Linked DNA regions of Neurospora crassa OR74A. The protein of the gene in region 1 interacts with the protein of each later gene in a biochemical or structural test. Links are inferred from orthologs where the notes say so. Each region holds a gene or a part of one and is shown on either strand. Other genes may lie near its edges.

Region 1 (4,780 bases):
GAACATGTGGTTGAAGATAGTGGCGTTCTTCGGCTCAGTCCCTCATCTGCCTAACATTAATATTGATGCGCTTGTTCTTCATCCAGCCCCTCCAAGCCTCATACTTTCCATCTTCGGCGGGCCAATCCTCCAGCCACTCGGGACAGGTGCCCTTGAAGATTTTGGGTACACCATGCCAGGCAAACCTGGACTCCTTAGTCATGTAAATGATATCGCCAGACCGTAGCCTTAGCAGCAAGAACTTCTTGTCGCTCTTGCCACTTTCATTTTCTGCGGATCCCTTTTGCTTTTCGTCTTCCGACACCTTGCCCCAGTCCTCGGGACAAATCATGAAGAGCGAATCACAGCCTATACTCAAGCTGACCAGGCCTTTGTCGGTCTCTTCTGACACATCGCGGTGCATCATCATGGTATCGCCGGGGGTGTAGAAATTGACAATGGCCGCTTGGGCCTGAGTCTCGGGAAACAGGGTCTCCAAAAGGCCGGCAATGTCTTTGGGAAACTCGGGGGGCAGCTCGCCCGGGTAAACGCGATTCGTCCAGTCATACTGTCCACCTAGGGTGACCCAGTGTAGCTTGCGGTTGAAGACTTGTTGAAAAGTGAGAGGCTTGTGTACAGAAGGGTCCTTTGGCTCAAAACACGTCTCGGAATCTGGAGGGTAGGAGAAGAAGGATTCCTGAAGGCCTGTTTCGGGATCCACGGGCGGGTAGGGGAGCTTGAAATGGAGATGCATGTTGGTCTGGTGATGGGGTTGGTTGAGATCGCGGTGAATGATGTTGCGCAGTAGCGTCTTTTGGACCTCGGGGGGAATGAGGTTTGGGAGAATCAAGAGACCTTTTGGGGTTGGTCAGCAATGATTCGTGAGGAAGAGGGGTCCAGGATCTTGAGTTCACCAGGCAAGAGAGGATGGTAATAGATGGGGGCGTCCTTGTCTGTGCGGAACTCTGGTGAGTCTTCGGGGCAGATATAGCTGAAGGACCTGTTCAAAGTCTCGGTAGGAATGGAGCCAGCGAGCACAAACTCGGGGGCTTTTTCGGGACTGCGCAAGTCATCGATCTCGGGGCTGTTCATGACGATTTTCTGGTCGACTTTGGCGAACGACTTCCACTTGAGCCGCAGCTCATCCGACGGCTGCTCGTGCGCATCCAGGTCATGGTGTCCACCCATCATCTTGAAAGTCGGGTAGTTCTTTTGAGCGAGATATCCAAAAAGAGAACAGAAAAGTGACCGAAGAAATGGATATGAGTATACAAGTTGACTCCTTCCGAGTCCTCGTGTGACGTTGCGGATTTGGAGTAGGGAAGTATCGTGAGATGAAATTGTGGGGACTCGAGTGAAGCTTCAGACGGGACGGATGGTCGAGATGGATTGATGTGTGGGCGTCGAGCTGAGGCTGGGCTGGGCGTCTGAATGGCTGGAGCTTCTGAATGGCGCCACAAGTCAGGGGTAGTCAACAGTTAGAGATCGTGGCTACCTAGAAGGTACCTACGTATTCTGCCCCATCTTGGTGGGCTGTCGGGTACAGTCAATGCTCCAAGTAGTAGTACTTACTAGAACTAGGTAGAGGTGGTACATATGTACCTAGATTGCTTGAAAGTTTACCTACCTACCTTGAACTCGGAGTACCTACCGACGAGGAAAGCGGGCATTTTTTGGACGCGTTCATTCCTCCCTTGCAGTCCGTCCCTCCAGTGAGTGGTTTCCATGGTGCCGTCGCGGTCCGCGCTTTTTGTGTTGACACGGATTTCCGTTGCAAGCGCCAAGTCTAAGACGTAATCGTCCCGTCTCCAACCACCTGCACTCGGATGCCCGTCTGGAATAAAACCTACCTACTGCACTACAGTACAGCGGACCACCCCCCTGGACTGCCCTCTAAATCCGACACTCGAACGACAACCACAACTTCACAACCTCAACTTCCACTTGCACGTCCACCGCCTCTCCTTCCTTGGATTTCTGTCCCTTCACCATCACGGTCCCTTAGTATCAAGAAGTTGCAGGAACAACGGACGACAATTACATCGCTCGCTGCATCATATTGCCTTTTCATCAGCGGCCTTTCGCATTCAGCCCTCCGCCCAGGACGACCCGTCGACCATTCACGGCACCATCATCACCACCAAAAGTCAACACCAAAACAAAGTATTTACGGTAGCTAGTACTGTAGCCTTTTGACGGCAACGACGGACGATTCCACCTTTTTTCGTTTTTGTTTACCAATCCGCCACTGCGCTCCCTTTGGACACCACCTATCCTTGGCTGGACCTTGACTCTCCAAGGATCAATCAATCTCAAGAAGGCGACCCTTCGACGGCCGTCACTTTCTCCATCCGCCGCCGCCGCCGCCGCCGCCCCACGCTTCGTTCTGGGCTTTTCCATCAATCACTGTGCTTCAGCGCGCTAGGTACAACATCGTTCGTCGTAATCGTCCCCCACCACGACGACCACGAACACCAGGCACCAACCCCAACTAGTAGTTCTACGACTCCGGGCAAAGTCAATTCTTTCCCTCCAGGGACTTTCAAACCACCCATCTCAGTATAGCGGCCTGGACGGGTAACAGAGCAACCATGGAGAACTATCAGAAGCTGGAAAAGATTGGCGAGGGTACAACACCCCCTTCTTCTTCGACCCCTCCACCTTGGCTCTCTTCCTTCCATGTCCCGTACTGACATTCCACCTTCCGCATAGGAACGTATGGTGTCGTCTACAAGGCCCGCGACTTGGCTAACAGCGGGCGCATTGTCGCCCTCAAGAAGATCCGCCTCGAAGCCGAAGATGAGGGCGTCCCCTCTACCGCCATCCGTGAGATCTCGCTGCTCAAGGAGATGCGCGACCCCAACATTGTGCGTCTCCTCAACATTGTCCACGCCGACGGCGGTCAAGGCCATAAGCTGTATCTTGTCTTCGAATTCCTCGATCTTGATCTGAAGAAGTACATGGAGGCCCTTCCTGTCAGCGACGGTGGTAGGGGCAAGGCCCTCCCCGAAGGAACGGGCGCCGGACTGCACAATTTGGGACTGGGCGAGGATATCATCAAGAAGTTCATGAGCCAGCTTTGCGAGGGCGTCCGATACTGCCACAGCCACCGTGTCCTACACCGCGATCTCAAGCCCCAGAACCTGCTCATCGACCGCGACGGCAACTTGAAGCTAGCAGATTTCGGTCTCGCCCGCGCCTTTGGTGTTCCACTCCGTACTTATACCCACGAGGTCGTCACATTGTGGTACCGTGCGCCCGAAATCCTGCTGGGTGGTCGTCAGTACTCGACCGGTGTCGATATGTGGTCCGTTGGTTGCATCTTTGCCGAAATGTGCACACGCAAGCCCTTGTTCCCTGGTGATTCGGAAATTGACGAGATCTTCAAGATCTTCCGGTACGTTTATGCAGTTACCTTTTCTTGGCACCTTTCTGCTTCTCCCCTAGTCCGCTATACTGACCTCTTTTCCTCCAAACAGTCTGCTTGGAACCCCTACTGAGGACATCTGGCCCGGCGTCACCTCCTATCCCGACTTCAAGGCATCTTTCCCCAAGTGGGTACGCGACTACAACGTACCACTTTGCCAAAACCTCGACGATGTCGGTCTTGAGCTACTTGAATCCATGCTTGTCTACGACCCTGCTGGCCGAATCTCTGCCAAGGCAGCGTGCAATCACCCTTACTTTGAAGACTACAACCCCAAGCCAAAGAGCAAATACCGCGACAGCAGCAGATACGCCTAGGGACGTTCGCCAAGGTCGAAGCAGGAGCGTTAGGCAATAGCAGATCGACTATCCAAGTTTTGCAGCCGGCTGCTTAGGTTCGGTTGGATCTCGGTGACTTCAAAGTGGGCAGTTCGTGGCAAGGGTACAGTCTTTGTGATTCTACCAGTAGCGAGTGAGGTCGACACACCGAAACGGTGACAGAAACAAACTGTCATTATCACACCTGAAGCATATCATAGCATCCCACTTTGCTTTCAGGATACTCGGAAACATGATATTCGACACATCAAATTCCCCATACCTACATTTTGTTGTATGTAGGGTTGTGTTTTTAGGGAACAGCGTTCAAAGGGGTCATGGGTAAAGGAAGTACATTGGAATGGAGTTCTGTATTACACGATTCGGTGTTATCTGGAAGAGCAAATGGCATTCAAGGGATGGGGCTTTCTGTTAGCCCTGGTGCATATTAGGGAGTTGTGGTGTGAAGTGTACTGTACACAGGCAGGGAAAAGGCGCAAGACATTGTTCCAATAAATCTCGCATGTACATACTTTCCCCTGTCCAAACACAGGTCCTTCGTTTGGAGATGCGAAGTGATGTCGGCTGTTCCTTCATCTTTGATGTGCTCCATTTCTTTCTCCCTGCTCGGATTTATGTTGCCATTGATCGATTTCTCATGTTGCCTTCTTGGCTGTCTTTCTTTCCGACAAGCGCTCACACCACCGCATTACATGTCCCCCAACATTGTAGGCATTCGCTTTTATCAGACTGAGCAAATGGTACCTCAGCACATGGGACTGCAGACATCGTCATGCTGACAGCGCTAATGAAGAATGCTTTCAGAAAAGCCTAGCTCACTCAAGCCTGTACCAAGCGGTTGGCTCCCAACATTTCAGCTATCAAAAGAGCATCACGTCAGTGGATTGGGAACCACTCAACAAGACAGATCAGGCGTCATAGGGAGGCTATATACCTGCAATACACTCACTGAAGCTCTTCCTAGTCCCAGTATCTCAACCGTGGTGTTGCGTGGTGTGGCGTCCAGACACTCCATCGGGGCCGTACCTTTTTTTTG
Region 2 (4,761 bases), on another chromosome or scaffold:
TCTCCAAGTCGTCGCGCAAGTCGATCATCAGATCTTCCATGAGGCGCAACTCGTCGCGACCTTGGCAGACCTCCTCGAGCTCCTTTTCCCAGATCTTGGTCCAGATGGGTTTCTCCTTCTTCATGAACTCCTCCATCTTCTTGAGCTCTTTGGAGAGCGTGGTGATGTCCTTGGTGACGGACTCGAGCTGGTTAGGGCGTGGGCGGACGCCGCGGTGGACAACGTCCTTGCGAAGGTCCTCAATGAGATCTTGCAGGTCGTCTACCTGGTTGACAAGCCGGTCACTATCGGCGTTAAGCAGTTTCCGACCCTTGGTGACGTAAGCGCGACCAGAGTCGCCTTCCCCATCGGGAACGGACAACTTGGCGGCGGCGGTCTTGACATTGTTGGCCTTGTTGCGAAGAGTAGTCATGGACCCTTGGACTTCGGACTGGAAGTTGGAGTAGGTCTGGCGAAGAACGGCGAGGTCGCGACGAAGGGATTGGATCTCGGTGAGCTGGCTTGGGCTGAGCTTCTTGGATGAGGAACCGGCAAGGGCAGCAGCACCAGCGACAGAGGAAGACGAAGAGCGTGGCGAAGCCGTCGAGTCCATACCACTTGGTGCGATGATAGTGGGAGGCGGCGTGGCGGCAATGCGAGCGAGATCCTTGGCGGTCTCCTGTTGGCGCTCCGACACACGTTGAATGGCGGCGTTTTGATCGTCGACATTTTGTTTAACCTGCTGGATGATGGTCTTGATGGACCCGATACTCTTGTCAATATGCTTCTTGACTTCATCCAAAACCTCGACATTCAACACAAGCACTGTACGGTCCTTAATATCGGACAGATCCTCAAGCTCATGGCGGACACCGGAGACGGGATCTTGAATGTAAATTTCCGGTAGATCAGCTCCATTCTGCTGCGTGTTCCACGAGAACTTCTCAATAAAGGCCAGCTGAAGACGAGCCATAGACAGATGCTCGTAGCCCTCAGGGAGCACGAACTTCTTGACCTTGGACTTGTACTGCAGGAAGAGGGTCAGTTCCTTGGTTGCGGGGGGTGAATTCTCGAGCATAAACGAGCTGGGCGGTTGTTTATCGGGAGTCGAGGCGCGAATGGACGGCTTGTGTTGATGCTGAGGAGCGGCAGGCGCAGGAGCAGGCCTCGTAGCAGCGGGCTTAGACGAGTCTACCTCATCCACCATCGGGATAGGATCTGCGAGCGGGCCATTAAGGGTAGCGCTTGGAGTAGGATACTTGTCATCTGGCGCCTGGACATTCAAGTTGTCGGCCTTGCTAAATGTATAAGAATCGGCCGTTTCAGGCTCTTCAGGAACCCGGCTGGGAACTCGAACGGGAGAGGAATCGAGGCCAATGGTACGTTGGGACTGGTTCGAAACATTGCGGCTGTGGCGGGGGGTTTCCCTTACGTGCATCGCCCGCAGCGACTCTCTTCTAGCCTCGCGGTTGCCCCTATCGGGTATCGGCGTTGTCTGGGGTGGGACCATAGCGCCGAGATACTTGGAAATCTGGTATGCCTCATATCTGCGGGAAGCTCGTCTTTCCAGATTACCTCCTCTTTGGAGAGCCGCCAAGGCGCTCTGTCCCGATCCCTTGGGCGGCGGCGGCGGCGGAGGGAAGTTGTCCACGTTGATTTCGGGTGGTGCCGGTGGGCCGGTTGGAATTGTCTCTTCACCTGGGTAAGGCGCCATAACGGGTATGTTTTGCATCGTGTTGCTCGACAGGCTGGACTGGTCAGAGGTGACAGAGCCGCGAGATTGGTCCCGTTGCGAGGGAAGACGTCTGGTGGGTGATGCCGTTGTAGGACCAGAGTTCCGAGAATCATCCCTGAAAGAGTCCGGTCGGTAGCCATTGCTCTCCAGCCCTTCGTTCAGCATGTTGGTGAGCCCAGAATTAACACTAGCCATGGTACTAGTGCTCGTAGTTCTGGTGGGCACGCCACTGCTACTGGGCCCAGGTCCGCGACTTGGACCATAGCCTCCATCGTCTCCCGCGATACTCGGCTCTCTATCCCGCTGCTGGCGATGCCTTAGCTTTTGCTGTTTTCTTTTTAAACCATGCAGCAGATTTATGATAATATCACGTATCTTTGGCAGGTATTTCTCGAGACTTTCAGCGCTGGCTTCTTGACTTAGAGTGGCCTCCAGGATGGTGCGCAGCATCTCGGGTACGTTGCCCAAGTCGTCAATATCGACATTGATGGCAGTAAAGGCTCGGCAGGCCATATTAAACTCGTAGCCCAGCCGTACGTAGACGTCGGAGACCTGGGTATCGGTTGCGTTTCCACGGGACCATTGTGTCAGGGTTTCGAGCAGTTGCTTGGTGGCCACAAGTAGATGTGTGACGCTCCTTTCGATTTGCGATAGTGGGACGGACGACGAGCCGCCAGATGACTGTTGTCAGATGCCCTGGTTAGCAGCGAACTGGCAAACGGCAGAGGAGGATTGGAACAGAGGAGAGGAGAGGCATCATGACGCGCGCATGTAGATGGAAAGACTCGAGAGAAAGGGGGACTGCAAAACAGGCCGATGGTAACAACAGTAAAGGAAGCCAAGGCGGGAAGATGATTACTCACATTGTTTCGCCTTGTGCTCCCACCGCCGGCGGGGCCGCCGCCGGGACCTTGAACTGAGCGACTTGAGCCAGCTGAAGACCTCGACATGCCAGCTTGGGGACCCATCTGTCCTCCCATCCCAACGGCGGGCGATATTGAGCGGGCCGGCATGTTGGAGGGCGGGCCACCACCACCACCACCACCACCACCGGGTTCGGTGCCCGGGGCGGGGGGGCGTCGCTGCATGGGGCGGCCGGGACCCGGGACATTCATCATGTGCTGCGCTGCCTTGCTGTCTGATGGATGTGATAGAGCTTGTGATGTTCAGGGCAAATGGTCGTGTCGCAAAAAGGAGATCACGTCAGGCGGGATGGCTTGTGTTGTCGGGTCGGCACCTCTAGCAGATGTTGGGCAGAGATGGGAGATTCGACGGCGCGTAGATGGCGGGAGCTACGTCTAGACCGGGCCGGGGGCGTTTGGCGACAGGGTCTTGGTCGCTTCAAATAAAGAGATAGTGAATCGGTTTGACGGGATGACAAGAGCCCTTCAAGATGCTGGCGACGACTGATGTTGCTGGCCGTCTCAATCAGGGCGGCGCATCAGGATATGGTGGCGGACAGTAGTAGGTGTCTTGTCTAGAAACAAGCTTTTGAGAAATGCGCGAGGTTGTGTTTGTTGATGATGGACAAATACTATGGAACTGCGTTGAGGACGGATGTCCCGTCGTTGCTGACAAGTCGGGGACTAGGTATAATTGCAGTGGATTGGAACTTGTATCGCCAAATGGAAGCCAAAGTGGAGGCGCAGGCCATGGCAACGGCTCCAGTTGGGCTGCCAGCCGCTGTGGTGGGCTCCTGACCTCGCTTCCCTTCAGTTGTTTTGCATTTCGCCATCACTGTTGGTTCAAGCAGATTGTACTAATACGTTAGCTTGTAATTTCCAGGCTGTTACTGTTAGTGATGGCTGGGCGCGGTAACAGCACATGATACCCGCTTAGCTCAGAGGAGCGCCTGAAGGTGAGCACATGGCAAGAAGAGGGCAGGGGATCCTGAGGGGTAGCCGTGCCCTTCCCTGGACAGGGGTAAGAGCGGCCGATAACAGGGGGTGCGCTACAAAATATCCATTCTCATTGTTGGTAAACACTGTCCAAGCCAGCCATGGCTGTGATTAACCTGTAGCCCATGTGATCGGGCCGTCTCACGCGACTCAACACGACCCTGGGGCTCTTGTCCCCCACAGCCCTGCTGAACAAACAACTCCCCGTGTTTCAATGTTTCATCCAAACCGCCAAAGACAAGGATCATCACCATCACCGCCAGATCTCCGCATCTTGGACCAAGGATGTTGACAATAGCCGTCATTCTGCTACACCACCATCTCGTCAAATGCCTTTTATTTGTGGCACATCATTGACGTCGCACCTCATCCATTGCCATCCATGTAAAACACAGTACAAGCAGCAAAGTCAGGGAACGTTGAGAGGCCACACCGACAAACACACCATGAACATATAGAAGGCGGCAACCTACCTACTGTCCACCACCTCAGTATTGAGTCCGGTCCTCTGTTCCTTCCCCGGATGTCCTCATTACCAAGATCTCACCGAATCCTCTTGAAGTTGGTGGTCCTGGGGGGAAGGGAAGGCGCAAGGCACCGACCGGGCAGAGAAATTGGTCCAAATCCAGACAGCCTCGAAATTGAAAGTGTCCAAGTGTCCTTCAGCTTGAGTTTGGGCTTACGTTTTCTTCCCTGCAGTGTCCGTAACAACAACACAGATGAACTCAGTTCCGTCTCCAACTCGTATCTTGGAGGTTCAATGCCATCCGACTTCACGCGGCCTTCGACTACCGATATTCATGAACCCTACACGGGCGCGGAGCTGGAGGTGAACTCGTCAGCGCAGTCCATGTCAAGCTTCCAGTCGGCAACAACAAAACAAGGCACAAGAGGATCGCCGACATCAATTGCTGAAGGATTTCAACTGGAGTGTCGCATCTCGAACGTTGTGTACAACCCTGTATTGAACAACACGGTCTGCTGGACATACCGTCGTCTATCGGCCAGGTTGCCTCCCATCCTTCCACCATGAGCAAACGCAGATTATACCAGGCAAATTTGCAAGCTTTGACACCCATGTTATTCAAACCTCAGCCATTCGAAAAGGAACCATCATCCCTTACTACCTGGGCACATCAAAGGGCTCCA
Region 3 (4,721 bases), on another chromosome or scaffold:
GCTCGATCCGTTGCTCGTTGGTGAGATTCGTCTTTATGGGGTAGTCCGTTCGCCCATCAGTCATCTTCCTCTTCTTCAGCATATTGTTGAGATAGGCGACTGTTTTTGGCGGAAGATCCATGCCGTTGTCTTGCAGACGCTTGATCAACTTCTTGGTGATTTCGATAATACCGGCGATAAGATATTTATCGCGGAGTTGCAACATGTCCACTAAGGGAAGCGAGTGTATTCTCGGCGGCTCCAGGACCAACTTCATGCCCTCTGAGCCGTCGTCACCGTTTGTCGCCGAGATGCTTTGAGGACTGCTAAGTGCCGAAGCCATGAGACCGTCTTGGGCGAGGAGCTTCTCTGCAAGTTCCATCACATCACGACAAAAGTCCTCCATGACTTTCTTGTCCACCTTCACGTGCCAGAGTCTCATGGATCCGAACGAGTGGCCGACGGCTCTCCATTCGCAATCCCACCATCCCTTGACGATAGCATGTTCCGCAGGGGTCAGGGTCTTGCGTCTGAGTTGACCTACAGACGGATCACTTAAGCTATTGAGCACGAATTCACAGCATTTCAACAAGTGTTGCATGTGACTCCACGGATTATTGGAGTCTTTGGCGTTGGTGATATGGTTTACGGCGCCAGTGAAGGCCTCCAGGAACTGGCTGAAGTACTCCTCAAGCATCTTATTCACGGCCTCAGATGGCGTCATCTCACCTGTGATGGCTTTGATCAACTCGAAGCCAGCTTCGCGAATGGCTTCCTCACCGTGTATTAGAGTCGCCACGATGGGCTGGATGGTGTTACTCTGCGGATCCGAGCAGAAACTGTCAAGATCAGCCGGGTTGAAGTCAGACAGGCGGCCTAACATTTTGCCAATTGCCGCCGTTTGCTGTTGAAAGCGTCTGTTGAATTTTGCATGCTCGTTCTTGAGCTGGTCTTTCCGCTTAGGGATAAACCGTTCGATACTCCTGAGAGGCATCGTAGCTCTCAACATGGCCTTGGCGAGATCTGTTTGTCCGTTCCAGACGAGCTCGAGGAATGACTCCCACAATGCGCCAGAGTCCCTGTTTACGGCATCTTGAACAGGCTTTTCCTTAACGAAAGCGTCCCACTCCATCAACGTCGCCTTCGCGTCCAATGCCAGGGCAGACTGTATGATAGCTATAGCAGCCTGTGAGAGGCCAACGTTGTACTTGTCCGCGGCCTTGAGCCTGGTCGCGTCAATGATGACTTCCTTGTACTGAATCACTCTGTTGAGTAACTGGTTGACCATAATAAGAGACGTTCCTGTATCAAAGGATGGAAGGCTGAGGTAGCCGTCCAAGCATTCTCTCAAGGTCACCAGACCAGCAAGGATGCAAGTGGCCTTCGCTTCTGGGGCTGCGCCTGCGTCGACCCGGAGAGTTTCGAACAGATGCCGAAGAAGAGTCTCGCAAACGTCTGACCGCCGCGCTGAGGGAAGGGAACGGATAAAGGCCCTGACCCATTCTGCCAACGCTGGTATTAGTTGACCGTTGTTTTCCTGGTCCTCGACCATCATGTCCGGCTCAAGAGACTGGTTTAAAAAGGGCCGAAAAGCCGGGCTCTTGAAGATTTCCTCCACAATCATACTCGGAGTGACTTGGTCATAGGCGTCCCAGAAAGCCTTTGACGAACGCTCCATTAGCGTACGAAGTGCTTTCAGTATCATGCTCAAAGCAGGGACGTTATTGGTGCCGAGGTTTTCGAGAGCAAGGAAGTAGACATTCGGTTGTACTTCCATACCGCGGAGGTTTTCCAAAATACTCTTTTCGCTCATAGCTCGCAAAATGAGGAGGAATCCGCTCCAAAAGCGACACAGCCGCGCCGGGGGCTGTATCCCCCTATGGCCGAGTATATGGGACTTGAGGCCGCTTCTGACAGCCCATTCCCACTCCTCATCGGTGAGGCTTTCCGGCAGCATCCGTTGCCATTGTGCCTCTGCAAACGCCCTGTGCACCGGATACTCTTCGAAAAGGAAGTATGTCATGGTCGGAATTGCGCCTCCCACCATCTTCAGCGGCTTCTTAGGCTGGACATGTTCGAATACGTAATTGAATATCTCTAGGTTTGCTTTGTTGGTGTTCAAGTATGCCATGCAGCAGAGCGATTCGAACAAGGCGAGACACGGCCAAAGTTCGATTCTAACGAGCTTCGTAGTCGGCATGGGACCGTCCCTCTCAAGGATGAATTTGGCTCTCTTGAGGCCGCGCGTGATGCGCTCTTCATCGAAGGCTTCGAGGTTTTTCTGTAGATTCCGCAAGAGCTCGGCGTTGTCTCGGGAAGTGTATCTGTAAATCGGATTAGCTGGGGTCACCAGGCCTACGGTGGACCAAGTAGGTTTTTGCGAATACGCACTGATCAATGGCTCTGATGAATTGCTGGCGTGTCCTATGCCATGTCCTGGCACATTGGTCACATTTTGTGAGAAAGAAGTTGACACGCTCTTTCCACTCGTTGATCCATTTACCAGCCTCTGGCATCACCAACAGAAGCGAAAGGCCGTAGGTAATTCTACGTCTCTCGAACCCGTCAGCGATTCGCTTTTGCTTTTCTGCCACCGTTGTTCCGTTCGCATCGGGGAGGTCTGGCAACGCGTAGTCCGTATCGTCATCGTCGCTGAGCAAAGGGCAAATTGGATGTGCGTCTGGAGGAAACTCTTCAAAGGCTTGATGCATCTCCATCATAGCCATCTGAACGTCCGCGGTCCCCAGCTCTGGGTATTCCATTTTGTCTGACATCTCGGCGGTCGATTCAAGAACGTGATGGCTTCTGGTGGTTGTCTAGGCTGACGGAGCTTGGAGGGCGAAGTGGGTTGCGCTTCGATGGTCGCAAGAAGCAACCTTCAGCGCAAAGCAGACGGAATGGTTTAGAGAAGCCTTTGCATCGACAAGAAGCTTTCGAGGTGAGCGACAGATATGCTAGAGGAACAACTTGTGCGGCAAAAGAATGACAAGAATAGTTGAAGCAAGATGCTCCAGGCAACCGAGGACGAGCAGTGATGCTTTGTCGGAGGGCAAAGGCCGAGATGGCGATGGATGTGCGGGTATCGCTTGCACCCACAGACAAAGGGTTGGAGGAAAATTGTATACCAATAGGACAGAAGAGAAATCCGCGCTCGTGGGGTTTTATGTTCCAGGCCAGTGAAGGAGTCTGACTCCGTTCTTCTTTCACCAAGCAATCGGTGAAGGTTCTCCTGTTGTATGTTGGAGTTGACGGTGCGGCTGTCAGACGGGAGCTTCCTCTGACATGCCAGAGCCAGCGTCCACAGTGCCTGGGAAAGGAAGAGGAATGGACGCTGTAACGAAACCTAGGTTCTGTTGTTGCGCGTCAATCCAGAAGGAACCGCGTCAGACCTAAAGTGCGTGGGGCCGCTAAAAGTTGCAGGGGGGGCAGAGGGGCGCGGCAGGCAGGTCCGATGGTCAGAAACAGGCAGCTGCTCAGCAGCTGTTGCCAGTAGCCAGATGGAGAGCTCCTACATACTTGTATATCATGGTACGGATTCGCCCAACTCCCCATCTCTTCCATGAATCACCAATCTTCGAACATTGAGGTCAAAAGGCCTAGGGAGCTTTCATCCGTCACAACAGTATCAAGAGGGTCTCAAGTTATGGCGGGCCAAAGAGTCAGACTGGAAATTATTGCTTTTGGAAAGAAACCAACTACTTCCAAATCGACTCTTTCCGGCGTTCCCTGTCTATCCATCTCCATGGTCTCCTCCCTTCCCCCGGTCCAGCAGGTGTTCCAACGGGCATTCGGGTGCCTCCCTCCACTCCTTCGTACCAGGCCTTGTCGCCTTCCGGCACTTGAAGCATTGTTGTCCATGGCGGATAAACAGCTGGTGCAAGCCATACTTGAGGTGATCCGGCACTTTCACGTCGCAGTGTCTGAAGCAGTCCTCAGCATTCGCTTTCTCCGGCACCCAACCGAGCCAGCGACAGAACCGGTGGACATGCGTGTCAACTGCAAAGCAGGGCATGCGAAGACAAAAGAGTGTAACGCAGGCAGCACTTTTGATGCCAATACCGGGATACTGGACAAGCTTGGCCATGGCCTCGTCTTTGGTGACGGTGTGCATGTGGTCTAGGTTCAACGTCTCTGAGAAGGCGACTTCTCGCTTACCGCCCGTTCCCTTGTTCTCCATTGCCATCTGCGCCATCTCCAACGCAACCATGTCGAGGATTAGCTTGATATGCTTGGCCTTCTGGTTTCCGTTCCCCGAAACCTTGATAGCCTGGGCCAGCTTTTCCTCTGGCTCGCTGGCAACCTTTTCCCAGTTGATGCTTCCGATGCCTGAGCCGTGTTCTCGTAAACCGTACTCTTGAGCTACGTTCCTGATCGCTCGGTCCGCCATGGCCATCAGTGTGTTGCCGCTAATCAGCGTCCGGAGGAGGGCGTCCAATACGCAAGGTACCTCGCCACATCCGGCCTTCTCCAAAGATGCCTTGGGTATTTCCTTGGGTTGCTCTACCTTGCCATGCATGGTTGCCAAGACGCGGTACACATCCTCGCATGCTTCAGAGGTAGGAGCCTGACGATTGGGGTAGGGTGAGAACCCTGGCGTGAACCCCATGGGATTATTTGGGCCCCTTCTCACTGGCATTCTGTAGTCAGGGCTGTCACGGTCCACGGTGGCTATTCTTGTGGCGGTGACCTTGGCTGCCTTCTTGCTGGTCTTGACAATAATATGTCCATTGCCGCTATCGAGG
Region 4 (4,684 bases), on another chromosome or scaffold:
TCACGATGAAGCGAGTGAGTTGTTGCACCATCGTCAAAGTACTTTCTTGACCATTTCCCTCGCTCTCAAATAAAGTAGCGAGACTAGGTAGTTTTACATGCTTCAACTTTCACCTCTCGCAGTGTAGCAAGGGAAGCAATGGTGAGTGAAAGGTTCAATACCTTTACGAAAATCTTGACTCCTGTTACAATGCCCGTGTAACGGTGCAGGGCGTGCAGTGCCTAACGCCGGTACAACACCAAAAGACGGATCAATCTTCTGTTCGCTAGACATAACTCGAATGAGTTGCCACAATTTCGGGATTCGGTGAGCAACGCCCACCGCCGGATGGACAATTTGCAATTGATGATGAAATTTGGGGGTGAGCCCAAATGGTCATCAAGAGTCGGGGACGAGACAATTGAGCGAGTGGTAAATATACAACACCGAGATGACAGATGATTAGTAGTATGTTGCGCGGGAATGGCCGCAGAGTCACTGTTGATGTCTGGGATACATCATGAGGTCGGCCAGGTGATGGTCGGGAGCGTGGGTACCAAGAGAAAGGGTGAAGAGGAGCATGAATATAAGAAACGAGGATAGTCCAAGACTTCGTTCGAAGGCATCCTTGGTGCATGTGAACTTGAAACGATTTAGATTGAGACACAGTGTACCCAGCCGCCAGAGTGCGGCGGAGATTCTTGATATGAGAAAGATTGAAGTCAACACCGACCTGAAGCGGTCCATCCGCAAGCGGCAGTAACTTCCCCACCCTCACTTGTCCCCGGAAGGACCGACTGATGAGCCAGAAGCACACCTGCCCTATAGTTCCTGCACATTGCCCATCATGAAATCAATCTACACTACTCACTACAGTCAGTAGAGGGCAGGAGCAAGGATGAAATTCCACGCGTCACTCAGGACCGTCGCCGATAACCCTACAGTGAGAATTTCTTTGTCATAGTAGTTGTTGCATGATGAAGGTAGACCCGAATCTTGGCATTGCAAAGGATGAGCGAGATGCATGGATGATATGGAGGGAAACGGCAGCTTAAAGAGGTCCATGGTGTTGATGTCAAATGGATCTTCGCCAGCCACTTGGAGATCAACTGTGGCTGGGAATGGTGACTCGGCATTGCTTGCGCTAAATCAGATCGATTGACGGCGCTGCAGGCACCAGGGCGCCATGTGGCTTTGGACTACCTCTACCTGGGAGCCTGGGTTACTACACTGAAGTTGTACACTGCACTTACGATGGGGATGAGCCGGTCTCGGCAGCTGTCGGGCAGTTTGCAGTTGCAGAACTGAGGTGTGAAGATCGATGAGACCGGGGGTCGGGTCAGTTGTCACTGTGTTGCCCGGCAAGCTTTCCCCACCACTGTTTGGTTCGGAAGGCAGCGTCGCGCAGCTACCGCACCTAACCACAACATTCAACCCAACCCAACCAAAGTCTCACCCTGGAGTCGCGAACGAGACTGACAGCCAGCCAGCGCTGCAGCCGCAACAAGCAAATCAAGGGAAGAGTGTGGTTGCCGTGACCTTCGCCTTTCCGAATTCACCATCTGTATCGCGACTTCAACGCTGCCGCGCGACCAAAGCAGCCCTTGCTGCCGCCGCCATCTCAATCCCTCCGTCACGAGGTGCTCGGTCTAGTTGCAACACAAACTGAAGTGTTTGGGAGAGTGGAAAGTCATGTCGTGTTAGACATAGTACCCAGGTTGCTGTTGTCGTTGTTGGAGAAGCTGACCCTTGGACCCTTCCCTGTCGGTGACGACCTGCTTGCCGGGTGCATCATACTACATCTTCAACTCTTCTTTTTTTGTTTGTTCTCCGACGTCACAGACCATCTTGCATCTTGAAAGCGGCACCTTCAACATTCCATCACTCCGCCATTAAAGTCTCAATTCTACCCTTTGCGACGCTTTCAGCAAACTCGGATTTTTTTTTTGTCGATACTCTTTTAATACAGCAGCTGCATCGTCCATTGTTCGCGCGCGCCCTTCATTGAGCGCAGCCCATCTCCCCCTTGCACCCGGCTTTTGCTTTGACCGTGCAGGCGCAGACTGATTCCGACAACGAAGATCGCTCCGTCCATTTACGAGTTTCACGATTACGAAGAACGACTTAGGCCTCGCCCCTCGATAACCCTTTCGCTCGAAGTGAGCCTTGCGAATTTGCTACTCCTGCCCACCCTCCGACATTCGGTTTTCTGAACGAGGCGCTTCACCCTCAGGTCACCATCTTTTATTCGGTAATCCCATGGATCCGTTTTGCCGGTAGCATAACTCATACACCACTTCGACCGCGGGTTTGGTGGTTTGGCCATGGCGGGGAAGATGACGCCAAATAATGTTACCGTCTCCCTTTTGCTAAGGCAGGCCATCTACTACCATCTCGACAATTGTGCCTACGAGAGCGCACTTTTCTTTGCCGAGCGACTCTATGCCCACGACCAATCCTTTTGCGATTCCGCCTATCTCCTCGCCTACACCCATCTGCGACTCGGCGACGCTCGAACCGCCTACCATGTCAGTCGGGGCTCGGGATATAGAGGTTCGCATTTAGGGTCCTGCTACGTCTTCGCTCAGGCGTGCTTGGAGTTGGAGCGATACAGAGACGGAATCACGGGCTTGGAGAATGGGAGGAAACAATGGTCCAAGGCGGACAACTTGGGGAAACATACCTCTTTTACCAGGATGCCATATCCCGATGCGGCTGCCTTTAGCTGTCTCCTGGGCAGACTTTACCGAGCATATGACGATAAGAAAAAGGCCATACCATGTTTTGAAGAGGCCCTACGACGAAATCCGTTCATGTGGGAGGCTTTCACAAACCTATACGACATGGGAGTGAGCGTCAGAGTGCCGAATGTTTTCAGAGCGAGCGATGGTCTTGCGCAAACCCTCGAGCATGGCCTCAACGCTACGCCGATTCTTGCTTGGATTGCAGGTCCTTCTCCGCAACCACCAGAGCCCTTGCAGCTAAAGAAGACCGGCCAGCAACAAAACAGACAGCCAAGCGATCCATTCGGGCCATATGGGACATCCCAGGAATCGGCGTCATATCCAGACTCGGAAAATGGCTTTATATCCAAGATGTATCTTTCTCAGTCAGGCATTACATCAAGTCAGCCAGGGAAACCGCTTGAGGAAACCGATACGCAATCTGCGCCTGCTCCAACCGCCCATAATCCTCAGGTCACTCGTGCTGTACACCAGGCAGAGCCGCCGCAAGCGCCACCTCGGAGAACTCGGGCGGCCCAGGCAACAGACTCTACTGTAACTGATGCACCACCCAGAACGGGACACCGTCTGGGAACAAGAAGAAAAGATAAAGCTCAAGAATCAGCGAAAGACCATGCGGAATCAGGTACCAAAACATCAACGGTTTCCAGCTCAATTACTGAAAGAAAACGCACGGCAGCAGGGCATCCAGTCCAAACAAGATCGATGAACAATGAGGAACCTAGGCGAAGTGCAAGACTTAATGTAGTTCCAAGACCAACGGCAACGAAAACAACGAGCGCGGGAGCAACCCGTGAGCTGAGGAAGGCTAGGCCCCCAATATCTCGATTTGCTCGGCCGGGCTCTAGTGGAGCAAACGTTGGTCGAGTTATCAGTGGCAGCCGGAAGCCGCCACAGGAGGATATTGGTATGGACATTGACCACGCCGAGGCAGTACCACGCACCAAGGAGCCGCCGGTGCTGCAGGCGGCACCACCTCCACCCCCCGCCCCTAAACCAGCGGAGTCTGAGTTTGTCAAGGCGGTTGAAGAAGCTTTGAAAACAATATTTGATTTGTTGAAGAAGTTGGCATCCGGTTATGCGCTTTCATCCCAGTTCCAATGCCAGGAGGCAGTGGCGGCGTACATGTCACTTCCGAGGAGTCACCAGGACACACCCTGGGTTTTGGCACAGATGGGAAGGACTCAATATGAACAGGCCAACTATGCCGAGGCAGAGAAATACTTCAAGCGACTTCGCGTTATTGCTCCGACTCGCCTTGAGGACATGGAGGTCTACTCGACTGTTCTGTGGCATTTGAAGAAAGAGACGGAGCTCTCATTCCTTGCCCATGAGATGATCGACTCAGTATGGGATTCACCAGAAGCATGGTGTGCCCTTGGAAACGCATGGTCGTTGGCATATGATCATGAGCAAGCCCTGAGGTGTTTCAAGCGAGCGACGCAACTGGATCCCAAGTTTGCGTACGCCTACACCCTACAAGGACACGAGCATGTAGAAAACGAGGAATACGACAAAGCCCTCACGGCCTACCGACACGCCATAGCGGCAGACAAGCGCCACTACAATGCATACTACGGCATCGGAAGGGTCTACGAGAAGCTGGGTAACTATGACAAGGCACTGAGCCATTATCACGCTGCCTCGGTGATCCATCCGGCCCATGCGGTTTTAATCTGCTGCATAGGCTCGGTCTTGCACAGGCAGAAACAGTTCAAACAGGCCCTACCGTACTTCACCAAAGCGACCGAACTGGCTCCACGTGCCCCTGATGTCCGGCTAAAGAAGGCTCGTGCCCTTTTGCAGATGGGACAGTTAAAGGCGGCGCAGACAGAACTCATGATTCTGAAGGACTTGGCTCCAGACAGGGCTCAGGTGCACTTCCTTTTGGGCAAGCTCTCCAAGACACTGCACGATAAGAAATCGGCGGTGCGCCACTTTACCATTGCTTTGAGCTTAGA
Region 5 (4,790 bases), on another chromosome or scaffold:
GAGGACCCGCTGGGCTTGTGTCAGTCCTTCTCACGGCGCCTCACCAAAGTATGAGGCCCATTCCCGTTTACGGCTGCAGTCACAGCACACTACTGTAACGAACCGCGTCATCCCGAAAGACGATCCAGTCTACCGGGAACCGATTACCGTGTCTACATGATGGAGCTGTACGACATGGACCACAACAGCACAGCTCGTTGACGATAAGGGTGGTTTTCGTCCCGCCTTCGAAGAAATCGTACGACCAGAACCGCAGGAGAGAGTTGATGCTGTATGAGGCTAATGGCAAACGGCATAAAGTTGATGACCATATGTAACTTGCCATAGCCATGTCTGCAAGCGGGCAATGACGGCTCAAGTGAACAGTCGGGAAGTCGAAACAACAAACACAACACATTTCACGGTAGGATCCCGATGGGATCCCGATGGTGATGGGCTCTAGTCGGGTACGAAAACCACGGGAAAATCAAGGAACCAAAGGATGTATTCAGCCGTTGCAGTTGTTGAGCGGAACCTCAAACCTGACTGCCGTGAGAAGAACGGATGTGGGGCAGTAATCGCCGGCTAGGAGCAACGTCTATCGGACCGTTGAAAGTTGATGTAGCATGTGAACGACGCAGCAGGGGAGACAATGATCATGGGGAGCTCAGGATGGCACACTCTGGCTCGCGCTTGGAGCCGTCGAGAATCATCACCCGACTGGGGTCGGTTTTGCTCGAGTACTTGGGCGCTTAGGCTCATAAGTAACATTGGTACCAGTGAAGCTGCGAAAGCCCTGCGTTGGCTTATGGGTTAGAGACTCCAAAGAGTGGATCGAGTAACTTTTAGACACTCGTGGCTTCTTTCCATTTTACACTTTGGTAACAATCACTTTGTTTCACCCATGTCGTCCACTTAACAGGACCCAACAGATGTTGTCCTATGGTCATACTTCAACTGCTAACACGAAGCATAGCACAACTACGAAGTATGAACTTGTAATTTAAAGGCTGGGAGGCACACATGTATGTGAGGTACACACGCTAGTGACCAACAACACTACTGAGGTTTCGGCCGCCTTGAGGTTGTTGTTCTTTCTCTTCTCGTTTTCGGGGCAACACAACGTGGGCTTGCTCGCTGAGGATCAAAGGCCATGCGGAGTACCGAGGTCTTGAAGACACTGTCGAGCCAGACATGGACGCTGGTCAAGTTGAAAAGGCCGAGAGGTACAAGTTAGAAGAGATCAAGCATGTGCAAATTGACCTGGAATGTATGTACAATCTTCGTGGAAGTTTTGTTATCGATAGTAAATGTAACCTGGAAACTACACTGAGTGGAAGTCTGGAGGGCCGAGGTCTGGTGTAGGTGGTTAGATACTGGAAATTACACGCTTCTTGATGGCAATTATGGGTAATGACGGTATCAGGTACAGCCCCGCTTGTATCAATTAAGCCCCCTGCCTGAAGCAAGGGGTTTAGCGCGACTCGCGTGTCGTCGACGCGTTTTCCACTTAAAATCGTATCGTTTCGTTTTGTCACTTTTCCATGGCGGCTCCGCAAGGTGAAGCGCATGCGCCAAAACAAAACATCGGCGACTCTTTCATTCTTCTCCAGCAATCTTTTTGGACGACAAGAACGGAGGCCACAACGACTAGCCTTACTCCGCGTCCGAACCCGTGTTACCTTTGTTTCCCGTCTGTGACACTGGCTTGAAGAGTTGTTCTTTGGATTAATACCTTCAAGATGGATTACAACGCCCTCCGCGACGAGGCCGTACGCGACCGTGTGCGCCAGGCCCAGGAGTTCCTCGATCCTCGTACGTCGAAGCTTGAAGCTGATGCTGGCCCTTTGTTCACGACCGAAGCATGGAACGAAACTAATGGCGAACCTTATCTACAGATGACCAGCACCAGCGAAGCTACAGACCAGACATTGTGTTGATGCTCCAGAAGAACCAGAGGAGACTCGTCGTCAATATCGATCATGTCCGCGATCACAGCTCTGAGGTAGCCGAGGGTCTACTTACCGATCCCTTCAACTGGACCCTCGCCTTCAACCATGCGCTCAAGACTATCGTCAGCACCGTCCCCCAGGCCCGCCCCGATCAAATAGACCCCGACGTCTTATACTATTGTGCCTGGGCTGGCAGCTTTGGTCTACACACCTGCAACCCCAGGACACTGTCCTCCCAACACCTCAACAATATGGTCTCGATCGAGGGCATCGTAACAAGGACGTCCCTGATCCGCCCCAAGGTTGTCAAGAGTGTACACTACAGCGAAGCCAAGAAGACATTCCACTACCGCGAGTACCGCGACCAGACCATGACGAACGGCATTGTCACCAACAGCGTCTACCCGCGCGAAGACGAGGAGGGCAACCCGCTCGAGACCGAATACGGCTTTTCGACCTACCGCGATCACCAGACCATTTCCATCCAGGAAATGCCGGAGAGGGCACCTGCTGGTCAGCTGCCCCGAGGCGTCGATGTGATTCTCGACGATGACCTGGTAGACCGCGTCAAGCCTGGCGACCGTATCCAGCTCGTCGGTATTTTCCGGACGTTGGGTAACAGAAACACAAACCACAATAGCGCCCTGTTCAAGACGGTCATTCTGGCCAACAACATCGTCCTGCTGTCCTCCAAGTCGGGTGGTGGTGTGGCTACAGCTACCATTACCGACACCGATATTCGCAATATCAACAAGATTTCCAAGAAGCCAAAAGTTTTCGAGTTGCTTTCACAGTCACTGGCTCCCAGTATCTACGGACATGACTACATCAAGAAGGCTATCCTGCTTATGCTGCTGGGCGGCATGGAGAAGAACCTGGAGAACGGTACACATTTGAGAGGTGACATCAACATCCTGATGGTCGGTGATCCTTCCACCGCCAAGTCGCAGCTCCTTCGTTTCGTCCTCAACACTGCTCCATTGGCTATTGCCACGACTGGTCGTGGTTCTTCCGGTGTTGGTTTGACTGCTGCTGTCACATCCGATAAGGAGACTGGCGAGCGTCGTCTGGAGGCTGGTGCCATGGTTATGGCTGACCGTGGCGTCGTCTGTATTGATGAGTTCGACAAGATGTCAGACATCGATCGTGTTGCCATCCACGAAGTCATGGAACAGCAAACTGTTACCATTGCCAAGGCCGGTATTCACACCTCCCTTAACGCCCGTTGCAGTGTTATCGCCGCGGCCAACCCTATCTTTGGACAGTACGACACCCACAAGGATCCTCACAAGAACATCGCCTTGCCCGACTCCCTCCTGTCGCGTTTCGATCTTCTCTTCGTAGTCACCGACGACATCGAGGACACCCGTGACCGACAGGTATCCGAGCACGTCCTTCGCATGCACCGCTACCGCCAACCCGGCACCGAGGAGGGTGCTCCTGTGCGCGAGAACGCCGGTCAGGCCCTCAACGTCGCCCTCAACGGGCAATCCGAGTCCCAAAAGCCCACCGAGATGTGGGAGAAGTACGACGCCATGCTGCATGCCGGAATCAAGGTGCCCAGCGGCCGCGGGTCTGCCAACAAGAAGCCCGAGATCCTCAGTATCCCCTTCATGAAGAAGTATATTCAATACGCCAAAACGCGCATCAAGCCGGTACTGACGCAGGAGGCTTCCGACCGCATTGCTGACATCTACGTGGGCCTGCGCAACGACGACATGGAGGGCAACCAGCGCAAGACGTCGCCCATGACGGTCCGTACGCTCGAGACGCTCATCCGTCTGGCCACCGCCCACGCCAAGGCACGCCTGTCCAACCGCGTCGAGGAGCGTGACGCCGCCGCTGCCGAGTCCATCCTCCGCTTTGCCCTTTTCAAGGAGGTGGTCCAGGACGAGTCGCGCAAGAAGCGCAGAAAGACCCGACCCGCCGAGGGCGAGGATGGCATGTCCTCCGACTCTGACGACTCTGATGACGATGACGACGACGTGGCAACTCAAACCACCACAGCCCGCTCCAGCGCTGCCAGAGCTTCTCGCGCTTCCCGCGCTTCCCAACGCGCCAGCCGACGCACTCCCGCCAATGGCGCTTCCTCCTCCTCCGCAGCAAACGCCAACGGCACTCCCAGAGAGGAAGAAGAAACCCAAGGAGCAGAAGAAGAGGAAGAAGACATCTACGACGCCACCCCGCGCCGCTCAACAAGATCTGCTCGCACAACCGGCGACTCACAACCATCCTTCGCCTCTTCCCTTCCCGCCTCGCAACTTCGCTCCACTCGCTCCCAACGATCATCTCGTCGCACCGCTCAGAACCAAGACGACGAAGAAGAACTCGCCTCCGGAGCCGCCAACCTCAACGTCGACGAAGACGAAGACGAAGAAATGGACGTTGACGGCGAAGCCGCCCCAGAAAACCAAGAAGAGGAAGAGGAGGAAGAAGAGGAAGAAGAAGATGAGGAGCCAGCACCAATAAGCGAGCACCGTCTTGACGTTTTCCGTCGGGCGCTCGGTCCGTTGTTGAACTCGGGACTTTTCGAGGACGACGCTGCGGATGTGGATGAGCTGATCAAGGCTGTTAATGAGAAGATTCCCGGAGGCAGGAGAGGCGGTGAACAAAAGTTTGAGAAGGAGGAGGCGCTGCAGGCGTTGAGGGAGATGACGGAACGGAATCAGTTGATGTGAGTTACCCTTCGCTTGATATTGTGAGGTGTGATGATGTCGAGGAATGATGCTAACGCTGTTTGATGATAGGTATACCGATGGTCAGCTAGTGTACAAAATCTAGTCTGGTGGACTGGAAAGGTTAAAAAACCGAATTGATGCTGTGTCTAGGAAACAGGTAGAGATGATTTTAGGTGGGTCA

What was found. The genes of interacting proteins can lie anywhere in the genome.
Region 2: of the proteins of cdc28 (region 1) and bud6, one has a biochemical effect on the other in vitro, tested with the Saccharomyces cerevisiae proteins (2 studies listed by BioGRID). The link is inferred for Neurospora crassa OR74A from reciprocal best matches to the Saccharomyces cerevisiae genes CDC28 and BUD6.
Region 3: of the proteins of cdc28 (region 1) and NCU02036, one has a biochemical effect on the other in vitro, tested with the Saccharomyces cerevisiae proteins (2 studies listed by BioGRID). The link is inferred for Neurospora crassa OR74A from reciprocal best matches to the Saccharomyces cerevisiae genes CDC28 and SEN1.
Region 4: of the proteins of cdc28 (region 1) and NCU00213, one has a biochemical effect on the other in vitro, tested with the Saccharomyces cerevisiae proteins (4 studies listed by BioGRID). The link is inferred for Neurospora crassa OR74A from reciprocal best matches to the Saccharomyces cerevisiae genes CDC28 and CDC27.
Region 5: of the proteins of cdc28 (region 1) and NCU08009, one has a biochemical effect on the other in vitro, tested with the Saccharomyces cerevisiae proteins (3 studies listed by BioGRID). The link is inferred for Neurospora crassa OR74A from reciprocal best matches to the Saccharomyces cerevisiae genes CDC28 and MCM3.

What each region holds. Positions count from the first base shown.
Region 1 is NC_026506.1:1,088,614-1,093,393, reverse strand, and holds cdc28 (cell division control protein 2), read left to right. Parts: upstream 1-1,853; 5' UTR 1,854-2,570; coding exon 2,571-2,607; intron 2,608-2,691; coding exon 2,692-3,376; intron 3,377-3,458; coding exon 3,459-3,723; 3' UTR 3,724-4,309; downstream 4,310-4,780. Other genes in the region: NCU09779 (oxidoreductase), read right to left, coding at 35-834, 894-1,170. UniProt on the Saccharomyces cerevisiae protein: Cyclin-dependent kinase that acts as a master regulator of the mitotic and meiotic cell cycles. Required to drive the G1-S transition. More than 200 substrates have been identified. Substrate specificity is in part regulated by the bound cyclin protein.
Region 2 is NC_026502.1:3,557,152-3,561,912, forward strand, and holds the start of bud6 (actin-interacting protein), read right to left. Parts: upstream 3,300-4,761; 5' UTR 2,833-3,299; coding exon 2,578-2,832; intron 2,396-2,577; coding exon 1-2,395.
Region 3 is NC_026501.1:1,604,398-1,609,118, forward strand, and holds the start of NCU02036 (tRNA-splicing endonuclease), read right to left. Parts: upstream 3,300-4,721; 5' UTR 2,754-3,299; coding exon 2,371-2,753; intron 2,304-2,370; coding exon 1-2,303. Other genes in the region: NCU02035 (helix-hairpin-helix domain-containing protein), read right to left, coding at 3,710-4,721. UniProt on the Saccharomyces cerevisiae protein: ATP-dependent 5'->3' DNA/RNA helicase required for the expression and maturation of diverse classes of non-protein-coding RNAs like precursor tRNAs, rRNAs and small nuclear (snRNA) and nucleolar (snoRNA) RNAs.
Region 4 is NC_026503.1:3,027,048-3,031,731, reverse strand, and holds the start of NCU00213 (nuclear protein bimA), read left to right. Parts: upstream 1-1,385; 5' UTR 1,386-2,303; coding exon 2,304-4,684. UniProt on the Saccharomyces cerevisiae protein: Component of the anaphase promoting complex/cyclosome (APC/C), a cell cycle-regulated E3 ubiquitin-protein ligase complex that controls progression through mitosis and the G1 phase of the cell cycle.
Region 5 is NC_026504.1:3,901,406-3,906,195, reverse strand, and holds the start of NCU08009 (DNA replication licensing factor mcm3), read left to right. Parts: upstream 1-1,491; 5' UTR 1,492-1,721; coding exon 1,722-1,794; intron 1,795-1,877; coding exon 1,878-4,605; intron 4,606-4,678; coding exon 4,679-4,712; 3' UTR 4,713-4,790. Other genes in the region: NCU16827 (hypothetical protein), read right to left, coding at 80-397. UniProt on the Saccharomyces cerevisiae protein: Acts as a component of the MCM2-7 complex (MCM complex) which is the putative replicative helicase essential for 'once per cell cycle' DNA replication initiation and elongation in eukaryotic cells.